Linked DNA regions of Caenorhabditis elegans. The protein of the gene in region 2 purifies or fractionates together with the protein of the main gene of each other region. This does not show direct contact. Each region holds a gene or a part of one and is shown on either strand. Other genes may lie near its edges.

Evidence for each region. Proteins that work in one complex are often made in the same cells at the same time.
Region 1: the proteins of ntl-2.1 (region 2) and ain-1 purify together in Caenorhabditis elegans (affinity purification with western blotting, with the first as the bait; one study listed by BioGRID). This does not show direct contact.

What each region holds. Positions count from the first base shown.
Region 1 is NC_003284.9:16,611,694-16,618,208, reverse strand, and holds ain-1 (ALG-1 INteracting protein), read right to left. Parts: upstream 4,759-6,515; 5' UTR 4,717-4,758; coding exon 4,536-4,716; intron 4,493-4,535; coding exon 4,340-4,492; intron 4,283-4,339; coding exon 3,464-4,282; intron 3,339-3,463; coding exon 3,247-3,338; intron 3,203-3,246; coding exon 2,687-3,202; intron 2,338-2,686; exon of another isoform or gene 2,189-2,337; intron 2,127-2,188; coding exon 1,962-2,126; 3' UTR 534-1,961; downstream 1-533.
Region 2 is NC_003280.10:4,372,236-4,378,189, forward strand, and holds ntl-2.1 (NOT2/NOT3/NOT5 C-terminal domain-containing protein), read right to left. Parts: upstream 4,224-5,954; 5' UTR 4,166-4,223; coding exon 4,156-4,165; intron 3,477-4,155; coding exon 3,357-3,476; intron 3,114-3,356; coding exon 2,994-3,113; intron 2,807-2,993; exon of another isoform or gene 2,772-2,806; coding exon of another isoform or gene 2,753-2,771; intron 2,464-2,752; coding exon 2,333-2,463; exon of another isoform or gene 2,313-2,332; intron 2,260-2,312; coding exon 2,133-2,259; intron 2,083-2,132; coding exon 1,929-2,082; intron 1,868-1,928; coding exon 1,652-1,867; intron 1,168-1,651; coding exon 711-1,167; 3' UTR 506-710; downstream 1-505. Other genes in the region: paic-1 (Phosphoribosylaminoimidazole-succinocarboxamide synthase), read right to left, coding at 185-280.

The DNA.
Region 1 (6,515 bases), on a different chromosome or scaffold from region 2:
ACTTGAGTACTTATTTTTTCAGGCTATACATTTGCTCATGCATCATTGGCAGCTTATATTTTGTATACTTTTGGTTTTAATGCGACAAGGTCAACTGTCAAATTATTTTATGTTTGTTTTTTCATATTTATTTTACATACTATTAGTCGGCCAAAATGCTACAATTTAAGTAAGAATTGCAGAGTAAATCTGGTTTCAACTTACATTAATGATTTTGAAAGCCTCCGAATTCTTTGAAAAATGTGTCCTCGGTAGTATAGTGGTGAGTATCCGCGTCTGTCACATGCGAGACCCTGGTTCAATTCCCGGCCGGGGAGAATCTTTTTGACAAGCTTTTATTTTACGAGAAATGGTTTCTGGCTGCACAGGTGATACCAAAAAGCGGTTGCTGAACAAATTGGCTATTTTGAATACAAAATATTAATTGTGTTTCTATCATACACTCAAACCTAAAACTTGAAATAAATATTAAAATAAATACAGAAACAGTGCTATTTCATTTCTGCTCCCTAAAATTGAACATTCCAGAGTTTAATTCACAACGTTTTATTATACGAGAATAGAACCAAAGGTGATGTTGGACGGCATGGGTGTTACAAGTAAAGTATGGTAAGAGATAAGAAAACAGTTTTGATTATTACATGTTCATGCGAGATTTAATCAAGATTTTTGAGAGCCGGAGTGAGAAATGAGAGAGGGGAATTGACAAATTTCTGGAAGAGAGAGGGTCCCGAATTGTGAAACTGTACTGCACATAATGAGTTTATTTGAAGTCCGGTAAGTTTGGAGAAGAAGACAATGAAATGAGAACACCATTTTGTTTGAAATTGAGAGCGAGAATTCGGAAAAGGGCCGTACTAGGAATTGACCTGGTTTCTAGGGAAATGCTGCCGGGACGACGAGTTTATGTATCGTTTAGAAAGGCGTTTCTTGTATTTATTTTTGTATGATTTTCAAAGTGTGCGCATGTAGCTGATTGAACCAATTTTGACAAGTTTTCAGGGATAATTTCATCACAATTTTTGGTTGGAACTTAGTGAGTGAGGGTGAGAGCAAAAAGAGACAAGAGACGGGAGACATTAGCACATTGAAACTGTAAAGAATGACGTAGAAAAGACCCAGATTACAAATGACGTTTGGAAGCAAAGCATACACAGAAATTTTGATTCAAATTAAAAATGGGAATAGCTTGATTGAAAAGTGAACGTGGGGGATTAAGAGTAGTGGGGTGAAAATGCTCGCAGAGGCTCTGCAGAAAGTGCAGTTTTAGTGGAAATAGCCCCAAAAACTGAATTATATTTTCGAAAGGATACAATTTAAAAAAAGAAATACAGTATTTTGATTAATATGGACTTTATTATATTTTGAGGTTTGGATGTTATGGAAAAGGGAAAGTAAGATGGATTTACGCGTGGTTGGAAATTGTTGGAACAAAGACCCCTATTATGAGAGAGAGAGAAGAGAAGGTATGAACTGGCAGACATAAACCTGGAATCCCTGTGAGACCAAGCACCAGCCACCAAATTATTCTTAGTGGGAGGGGGAAAGGCGAGAGCCTCCCCTTAAACAAGAAAAATTGATTATCTGGAGATGGCAAAACGAGAGGTGAAATACAAAAAACGTGTAATTTTCCCCGTCTGATCAGCAGTAAAGAAGGAAGGAGACGACAAGATAGAGAGAACATTCACAAGACCACGTTTACAATAGAAATCCGGAGGCAATAAAGTAAGGAAACAGACACACACACACACGAAATTAAAGAGAAAGGGGGAGAGTAAAAAAGTATTGAAGAAAATGTCAAAGGTCACTGAGACAAGTTAATGGGAAATGATGATGACAAGGCTGAAACTTTGAATTTCAAATTTCCAAACTTAAAATTCAGATTACAGTGCGAAACACAAAATAAAAGTAATGATGATAATTGTTCGTGTGTGGGAGAGAAGATCGGTGGGCGATACAATCTATTCTAAGAACGAGTAGTGATAGTCCTCCGTTGAGGCTGGCGCACGTTGCTCCTGCGGTTGCACAATTCCAGCGTCCATCAGCGCACGGTTCACTTTTTTCGAGTATTCTTGAACTTCAATCTTTGCTGTCGTCACTTCGATGATGAGACGATTGTGTTCAAGCTGGAAAATTGATTTGTTTGGTATTCATATTATTCATCTTTGCAAGCAATCGAACTGAAGTAATCTGAGCTCCTTAGCGATGCGTCTAATATTTTTCAAAAGTTTGATATTAAAGGATTAAAGGACGATCCGTACTTCAGGTGTTATGCACTGCGGATCTGGAATTCAGTTCCGTAGTGCACTGTCTGGTGGGGCTCCCACCGGGCTATTATTTGAGCCACGTTCAAGCCGGGGACCGTGACCGATAATCCAGTCGTTGATTGCTCCACTTCTCAATAGAGGCTGGGTAAACCTAGGGGGCTTGAACTCATGACTTCCAGCTTGCTAGCGGCCACCACTACCGACTGAGCTATCCCGCCGCCCAATTTAAAATCTAGGTTTAAGCAGGATCTAAGCTAGTTTTCTGGTAAGGTTGATATTTTAAATTTCTAGCAAAATGTCTAGCTTTCATTTGTTTCCTATAATAATAGGTTGTAGTATGATAATTATTTTGGCTTCTACTATTTTAATTTTTCATAATTTTATCCTGAACAACCTGAAAACTCGACAATCTTCCTCACCTTTTGACTATCATTCATGTACTTTTGTTGATTCTGTGGATCAACCTCTTTCACATCTTCTGGCAGAGAACTCTCAATTATCTGCTTCAGCTCATTCTCCACACTATCCAACGCTGGAATTTTGACGAGCAGCATATTGACATACTGCAGCACCATTGGCGGTAAGTTGGCCATCATCGTCACGCTCTGGTCCAGGTATCCCTTGTCGACAGCGTTCTTCAGCATCTCCGCCACAGCCACGTGTTGATTGGTTCCGGGCTCATTGAGTGGAATTGTTCCTCCCTGCACCCACGATCCAGTGGTGTTGTCACTGGAGAATGTTGAAGTGTGCTGATTCGGAAGATACCATGGATTTTGCTCAGTTGTCAAGTCGTTCCATCTGTTGTTCTCGTCGAATATCGTCGACTCGCTCTTGGACGGATTGTTTGGATCATTTTCTGGAAGCTCTCCCCATCCGGTCACAACAATTGGCCGTTTCGCTGGTACTGGGAATGGGAAACGTTGATTGTCCTCTCCCTGAGACATGAAGTTCAATTTAATACCTAAGACAACAATATTACCTTTTTCTGTGGTACTGGACATCGGTTCAATGCAGTTTCCAAATCCTCATCGGCACCTTCGCCAACAATCCACAAGCTAATGGTACGGTCAGCTGCAAAAATAGTCGATAATAGGTGATTTCTATAGCAACACATTTAGACTAATTTCAGTTTTTCATGAAACAATGGAGAATTTCATTCAATTCCCACCAAGGAAATATTTTTTTAAAAAACTCACTTTGCTTCTCCGGGTCTCCCCAATAGGACACTCCAGTATCTCTCTGCCATTTCTTGAGTTCTCCGTTTGGATCATGCCAAACAGTCAGTGTGAGATCATCAGCAGCTCCGCCGATTGGGAATGGATTGTTGTACTGCTGGTCTCCTCCCATGAACTGCTGCATGCTTCCACCACTTCCATTGTTTCCGGTGCTGTTCCACATATTGGATCCTCCGCCACTCTGGCTTCCACTGTGTCCCATTCCACCACGGTTGTTGTAGTTTCTTTGACCGCCGTGGCCTCCTTGACCTCCACCAGCATTGTTATTCTTCCATGATCCGTGTCCACTATTCGGAGCAACACCCATATTTCTCATTCCACCCATACCACCTCCCATGTGCATATCCATCGGTGGTGGAACTGAAACGTCAACACCGCCACCCATATTGCCAGAGTACCGTCCCTGGTTGTGGTTTGGACGACCGTTTCGGGGCGGCATGCCTGACATTCCACGATTGCTGTCCTGCCCCCATGGACGGTTCATCTGCTTGTTGCCACCCATGTTATTCGGGCCACCCCATCCCCCTTGGTAGTCTTGCTGCTGCTGCATCATTGGCCCACTACGTTGTCCTTGTCCTGGTGGTCCATGTCTCATGCCTGTATTCCAGGCTCCCTGCAGCAATGGCATCGGGTATTGCTGATGCTGTTGAGGCTGTTGCTGTTTCCAAAAGTCATCAGATTCTTTTCCCATTCCTCCGTTACTCCAAACCGGGTGCGCTGGCTGAGACCCTATGGACCAAGGCGCAGATTGACCTCCAAGACTATTCAATTCACCGAACGCTGAAAATTTATAGATTTAAATTTATAAATATAACGTCTAATCAAATTTGAACTTACAGGCATGTGGTTGAAGTGGATACTGCACATCGCTCAATGGTGGATCACCCCATATCTGTTTCTCATAATCTGTATTCTGAATGCCACCCCATTGGCTTTGACTTGATGAGCCTGTGCCACTGAGTCCAACAAGGGCTTCGTTGACATTTGGCTCTGAAACAATTTTTACGTCATCAAGATTACAATTGCCAATTACCGATATCGTTCGATTCCTGTTGCCATGGCGATCTGTTTGGGAACTGTGGCTGCGGTACCGGCGGAGCCCAGACACGTTGCTGCTGGAGACCGTTGTTTCCCCATACAGGCTGTTGGTCGTTAGGATGCCACGCTGCGTCGTCTATTGAAATGTTGTTGAAGTTTTTTGCGAGACTCTCCATGGTTGCGTTGATCGCGCTCTGGCGATCAGAGTTTGAGCTTATCTGTAAAAAATGGAATATTATTGATTGATGAGTTTTGGCGAGAGCGTGATGGTAAATGATAGATGACAAGAGAAAACAAAGAAACTGATAGACTGATTGATAACACTATTTGATTTCGACATGGGTACATTGGTCGAACAACATTAGCCGCGTAACGAGCAGGATTTCATGAAGGCAATTGAAAATTTTACGGACCAGGAGTATCAGCTTAATAGAAATTTTATAAAAAATGATCTAAAGCCATTCAAACAGTATTGAGCAAAATTATGTTTTACAAGATCATTGTCAAAGTTAGAAAGCATAAACTATTAATTAATGCAATACTGCTAGATAGAAACAAGTTCAGTGTAAAAAGCGTTCTCCTGTAAAAAGGTAAACATTAAAAAATTTAATAAGTTTTGTACAACCTACATAACTACTGTTGTAAAGAAAGGCCCCAAAAGCCCCCGGGGCGCTGCTGGCTAGGTGGGAACTAGGCGGACAAGGGGTTAAGGAAAAAGCAGGAAAGAGAGAAAGGAGAAGGAAAAAGCAGAAGAAGGAGAGAGACTAGTTAGAAGAGGGGTCTGGTGCTTCGCAGGCTGGTTGGCTGGGCTGCTGCTGCTGCTGCTGCTGCTGCTGCTGGCTACCCCGATCGAGGGCGAGAAGGCGACCGGCGACGACATTGCGCGTTTCTCTCCCTGTCTGTCTCTCTCCATCTCATAGTGAGAGGCCAACATCAAATTGCTTGCCGGGCGAGAGACGCAGCGGAAACTCCCCGTCTTTCCACTTTTTCCTCGCTTCACTACTACTAACCCCCGTGAGTCTGTCCGCTCACGCTTCACTCATCAGACCACCCTCCCGCACTCTCGCTCTCTCTTTTTCTTTCACGAATCAATGAGACCGCTGTGTGTATGTGTGTGTGTGTGCAGAGAGAAGAAGGAACGTAGGGTCAACTGAGAGGGTTTCATGTCGTGTAGAGACGGAGAAACCGCACCGCCGCACACTCACGCGCTCATGCGCTCACCACCGCACTCATAGACACTCATCGACGTGCGCTCGACCACTCACCACCATTTCTCTTCATCTCTGGTGGTTCTCCCCGTATCTAACAGTATATACGTCTGTGTGGCCAGTTCTACACACACACACACATACACACACTACCAATATATTTTCGATATGTGGGATGGACGGGACACACGAGCGAAGATGGACGGGATGAACAGCGGGACGGGCGACATGCCAAACTTGAAACACTTTTTGGTTGGAAATAGATTCGGAGAGAAATTGATTAGGAACTTGTTAATTGAGGATACTAAGGATATTTAACAGAAATTCACCAATTTTCTGAAAATTTGACATTACAGTGGTTTTTCTCTGTTATGAAAAGTTGGCTATATCGTAACTTTTTGTACTTTGTGAAATATTTAAATTCAAACAGGAGATGATAAATCTAAAAAGGAAAAAGATGAAACATTATGTTGAAATTCTTAAGACAGTGTTCATTAATTTGACACGCCAAAACAGCCGAGGCTATCAATTTTTGGTGACTGAATTTTTTCGACCTTGTGTGCCGCCACCGCTCGGGAACCAGAAACTGTGAGTGCTAGACAGTTGAGGGTTTGTTTTCCTTCGCATCAAGTTCACGTGACCCGGTGAGGTGGAAGAGAATTGGGAATGAGAAATCTATACTGTTTTTCACACGGAGAAGAAAACATGAAGAGAAACTTTTGAATAACGAGAAAAATGTTTTTCTTTTTCAAAATTGAAAATAGAAG
Region 2 (5,954 bases):
CACGTTCCCAACGAGACCCAACGTTTTGGGGCGGAGCTTGTCAGATTACTCGCGGAGCGCGTTTGCATCACGATTTCAAAAGGCGCTTTTAAAATATCTAAATTTTAATCTATAAAGCATTAAAAAATTAGTAGAAAATTAATGTTTTCCCAAATTTTTTGAATTTTCAGTGAAAAAAACCAACCTTTTCTCCTTTAATATCAAAGATTTGCTTGGTTTTTCCTTCAGCAAGAAGCTCCAAGTTTTCGGGTCTCGACGCGATTTCAGCCAACGACGACATGACAAACAATAATAGTATCGAATGAAACTGTGTTGCTATCACGGAACGATATCAGAACCCCCTTGTAGGCGAGTTTGTCATCGACAAACATCTTGTTTTCAGCCTTTTTCCCCGTCTTATCAGTTCGGTGTTGCGCCACTGAAAATACAGAGAAAACCGCCGCCGCCAGTCATTGTGAAGCTCTTTCTTTGAAAAATCACAGGTTTTCAAAGAGCAACTTGTGTATATCGATAATCGTTTATACGAAAACGTAGAGAAAAGAGGAAAAATAAGGAAAACGAAGGAAAAAAATGGGAGATTGGGAGAGAAAATGTGGAGAGAAAGAGGGGAAAAAGAGATGGAAAATGAGAGAGAAAGGGAGCAATTCGAGAACAAGATGACGAAAGTGGGATATAGAAAATTTGCACACGAGAGATCATCTTCTTCTTGTTTAGTTTGGAGTAGCTCGCGCCGCCGATGGAACGGCTCCCGGTTGCACATTGATTCCTCCGATTCCAGCTGCTCCAACACCACCACCACCCATAACTCCGTTAAGACCCGCTGGTGCCGGTGGAGTGATTTGTCCGCCACCGCCGCCACCTGTGCCGAGCGTCAAGTTATGCATCTGAAGCATCAGACCCGTCTCCGGACCGCTCGGAAATTGTGGTCCTTGGAAAAAGTATTTGTAGGGTGTCGGTTGTCCGGAAACTGATTGCGGCATTTTCGGCCGATCCTCGAGCTCTTTGTACTCCAACTTTAACTCTTTCGGAATTTTTCGCCATTGCATCTGATCGAACACGTTGTAATGCCCTTTTTCATAATTTCCCGTCTGTTCTTTCACTCCACCGTACTGAGAACGCGTCAACCACACCTGTTCGCTTTTGTGAAATCGCCATTCGCGAGCGTACCTGCAAAAAATTTGAAAATATAATGATTGTTTCGTGATAAAAAAGATTTTCTCAATTGCTAACATAAAATATATGTTTTTTTCAATTTTCTAGCTAAAATTTTAAAATTATTAATAATTTGATTCGTGAACTTCGACCGCGACGTAACTGCAAACGGAGCGGCTCAATAATTTTTATTTTAACTTTTCGCTAAGAACGCGTGATTCACATGATTTTTCATAAATTTATATATGAGGCGAAATAAGAATCAACTAAAATGATGAACAATTATGCGATCTTAACGAAAAAGCGGATTTTCTTGAAAGTTTTTCGCCCAGAACGAGTGATTTTCTATCATTTTGGCCAATTTTTTATGCGTTTCATATGTAAATTCATGAAAATCACAAATTCTCGGGGAAAAAAAAAAACTAAAATAAATTTTTTAAACACGACGCTCCGCTCGCGGTCATGGTCGATGCAGGTTTTTGGAATAAACTTTACTTACAATTCGCACGCCGCCGCCACCTGATAAATCTCGTTTGGACAGTTGTAAAAAAGATAGAATAACACGTCTTCTGAAACTTTATTCAATCGCAGCGGTGGAAGTTTGTCTCGAATATGATTATGCGTCATGTACTCCTCGGGCACCTTCACGTCGAGCTCGTGTGCTCGAATCGGCGAATCGGCCCACGGACCACCAAAGTTCATGTACAATTTTCGTCTGAAACAGAGGGAAATTAGAGTTTTTCTGGGCTTTTCGGGCTTTTCAGGCCACTACTCACTCTGACAAATTCAAATTCAAGCCCAACGTCGTAAGATCATAACCTAACGCCAGTGAAACAATGGAAGGATTGTCAACTGTCCGAAGATATGTCACCAAACCCGCCATCCCAAACTGATCGTCAAGCATTGACGCTGGAATGTTTGTCACTTCGCCTGAAATTAACAATTATTATTTTAAATGCTTATTTTTAAAGTATTCCCACCATCAGGATGAGTAATAATCCCATGCATAGGTCCTTCTTGACTATTTCTTGATATCCCGCTGAGCCGCGAGGGGTCACAATCGCCTAGGGGTCCAGCAAAGTCGACTTGATGGTCGTCTGCTAACATCTGCAATAATTTATCGATTATTTGATTGTCATCGACGCAGAAATTTTGTTGACATTAAATTAAATTTAAGTACGTTAGCCAGTTGATCTCCAAGCATTGATCGCTGTGTTTGACCAGAACCGACGCCGGGAAGCGCGGGAAAATCCTCGTTCTGTATTTGGAACTCGGGATTTGTTAGACTGGGGTCCGATCTCATCAGGTTAGCTGAAAATTAATTTTTGCATGGTTTAACAACACAGGAACACGACAAAAACTGCGAAAATTCGGAGAATTTTTATGGAAATTCTGAACGAAAAATCTCTGCGGGGTACGGTCGATCATGGAATACGCAACCACCGTCACGGACTTTTGCACACATTCAATATTGATTTTTCTTAAATAAAAAATAAAATTTTCCAAAAGAATTCGGCGGTTTTTTCTCGAATTCATCGGAATTTTGCAGTAAAAATGAGTAAATTTTATCAGAAAATTTGCGTTTTGCCTAAAAACTCACGGAAAGAAGTTGCCAACATCGAAAAATTGCACAATTGCGTTCAAAACAGAATGAAACACGCATTGTAATTTTTAAAATGTTCAATCAGAATTTCGCGCGCGCGCATTTTCAAAGAGCAAACAAAAATTGATTTAAAAAAAAATATATATTCGCGGTTCACAACCAGCTATCGTACTTTTTTTTTTAATTTTTGATACTTCATGCTTTTCATCACACAGAAAGAGAAAAAAGTAAAATTTACCATAATTGGGTCTTTGTGCGCCGTAAAGATCTCTCGACGGCGATGACTGGGCAACGTTCAAAACACCTCCGCTCGTTGTTGGGATTGGGGAGAATCCGCCGCCGCCGAGTGAGGACGTTCCTGAATAGAAATCGATGAAATGCCTTGAGAAATGAAATAATTGTTCTAATTTTTTTTAAATATTGATAAAAAGGATGAAAGATTCAAGGAAAACATTTCCGTGGACTTCCACACAAGCAGGTCAAATTTAATATTTTAATTTTAATTTTTTTCCATTTAACAATAAGAATGAGAGTTCGACAGTGAGTTTTTCATAGATTTAAGAATATTCTCAAGCTAATAAAAAAAAATCAGTGAATTTACCTTTCGCGCCCAGTGATGGAAACTGGGACTCGTCAATAATTGTTGCGTTGGAGTGAAAGTTGGAATGCGAAAGAAATTGCTGCGTTTGAGGCAATCGTCGTTCGGTAGCTACTCCACCGACTGAAAATAGGCTTTGGTTAATTTTAATTTAAAGTTTTCTTTCTGAATTTAAAATTATTTTCATGCGATCGATAATTCGAATTAATCGATTTTCCGCATGGATTTATTCGGATGGGTCTCGCCACGAACACACTTTGATATTCACGGTTTTTTTCGACAAAAACGTTAATTTTCGAAGGATTTCTCACGGAAATAAGACGGAATTATTCCCCAGGCTCAAATTTTTGCACCACACCAAAACTCGACCCGGAAATGTTTTTAACGCGAAAAGGTGTGTGCGCCTTTAAGAAGTATTGTAGTTGAAAACTTGTGTTGTTGCAGAATTCTCATCGATTTTTATTATTTTTTCAACCGATTGTTTCCAAATTGAGTTTTTAGAATAAACAAATATATTTTTGTTTGAAAACTATGAAAAATCGATGAAAATCTTGCAGCAACAAAAGCTTGAAATTACAGTTCTCTTTAAAGGCGCATAGCCTTTTGCATTTAGGGAAAATTTGTCGTGTCGAGACCGGGAGCCGTATTTTTTGACGAAAAACCGTCTCGGTAATAGGAAAGAGGTTCAAATATGAATTTTGGTTCACTGGCAGGGTCCATCAACAGGAGAGCTTTTTCATCCAGAATTAAGATCTTCGCGGCGAGACCCAGATATCTGAAACCTTCAAAAATCAAAACTCACCAGAATTCATAAGCACTGCGCTTATGGTAAATCCTATGCGGAGAGATGGCTACGTTCTACTCATAAATCTGAAAGAAAATCGATTTTGGTCACCAGTTTCGCATGCGGTTTAGACGGGACGGGGAGGGGTAGATCAATTGAGAAAACATCTGAAGTCGAAGAAGCGTGTCTAGAACACGATGTTGATGATGAAGCTGATTCACAAAAAAAAACACAGTCACATGATGGGCTGAGATGATGATCAGATCAGAATCCGAAAAATTCAGTGCGGTCGTGGTGTTCGAAAATCGAAGAAAGCAGCGGAGAAATGAGAGACGACGACGAGAAATCGAACAATGCTGTGTGTGTATTTCCTACTCACTCTCTCTCTCTCACGTACCCTCTCCTCTCCCTCAACCATTTTCTCTACTGTCTCCGCCGCTCTCTATCTCTCTTCTTCTCCATTTTTCTGTCCCCCATAGAGGCCGGCAGTCAATAGGGGCTGCAGTGTTACCGTACCCCCGAAAACCTGCAGATCAAACACGACGAGATAGTGTGTCGAGTGGAAGAGGGCGCGGAGATGCACGCGACTGCTCGCGGGCCGTACGATCGAGCGCGTTTGCTACTGAAGGGGGGGGGGGGGGGAGGGGGGGTTGGTTGACCTGACCTCTCTTTGCCTCTCTCTCGAAAATGGAATGAATGGGAAGAGATAGAGAGTTAGGAGAGAGGATGTGCAGAAGCACAGAGAAAGCTAATCAAACCGAATGTGGTCTTTTAGTAAAAGAAGTGAGAACGATGGACCCATGAGCACACAAGATGCTCCTTCCTCATTGATTTCTTCCCCCTCTCCTTACTCATTTTTCACTAAATCGGTCAACTGGAAATTTGTGTATGTAGCATGCTTCTTCTGATCTCTAAATCTCGGCCTTTTCTGGCTTTACTACAAAAAAAAACCAAAAAAATTGTTCAAAAAGCTCGTAAATAATTTAAATGGGGTTCGAGCAAGACACAAGGCTATGTGCTCATTTTGTGAGTATTTATTTTATGGTGCATCGTTCAGTTATGCAGCTAGATTTTTTTTGGTTTTTTTTTTAGATAAAAAGATGTTAAAAATTTTGGAAGAAAGTAGTTTTTGGTAATATGTTTTTCTACCATAAAAGTTGTGTGCCTTTTATCCCAATTTTACAATTTTGCACAAAAAATACGGTACCAGGTCTCGACACGAAATTTTTTTTGAGAAATGCAAGAAAGCGTGCACCTTGAAAGAGTACTGTAATTTCAAATTTGTTGAATTTTCCTTAATTTGTAATGATTTTCTCAGAGTTTGTCAATAAAAAAAAAGTATATTTTATAAAAAAAGTATGAAATCCCGCAGCACTAAAAATTTCAAATTACAGTACTCCTTAAAGGCGCACACCCTTTTGCAGTTAACAAAAATTTGTCGCGTCGAGACCGGATACCGTATTTTCGGGCGAAAACCGAAACCCTTTGCGTCCAAGTAATACCGAATTTTTAAGAATGATTTTTGGAATTTTTTGCTTGAAAAATTGCAATTAATTGAATTATAATTATTCTACCTAAGAAAAAAAAACCTAAGTTTTATGGTTTTTTTTTTGAAAAAAAAATTATTTGATTTTCAGATCAATCTAAAAAATTCTGAAATTCACTTGAATTGTCATTTTTCCAAATAGAAAACCAATTTTTTCAGAATTTTCATTAGGAATTTGTTGTTTTCCTAGATTTTTTCCCCACTTCCTTAAAAAAACCAAAAGTTCACAATGGAAATTTATGCAAAAATTGTGGCATTTACTTTGGTCTCC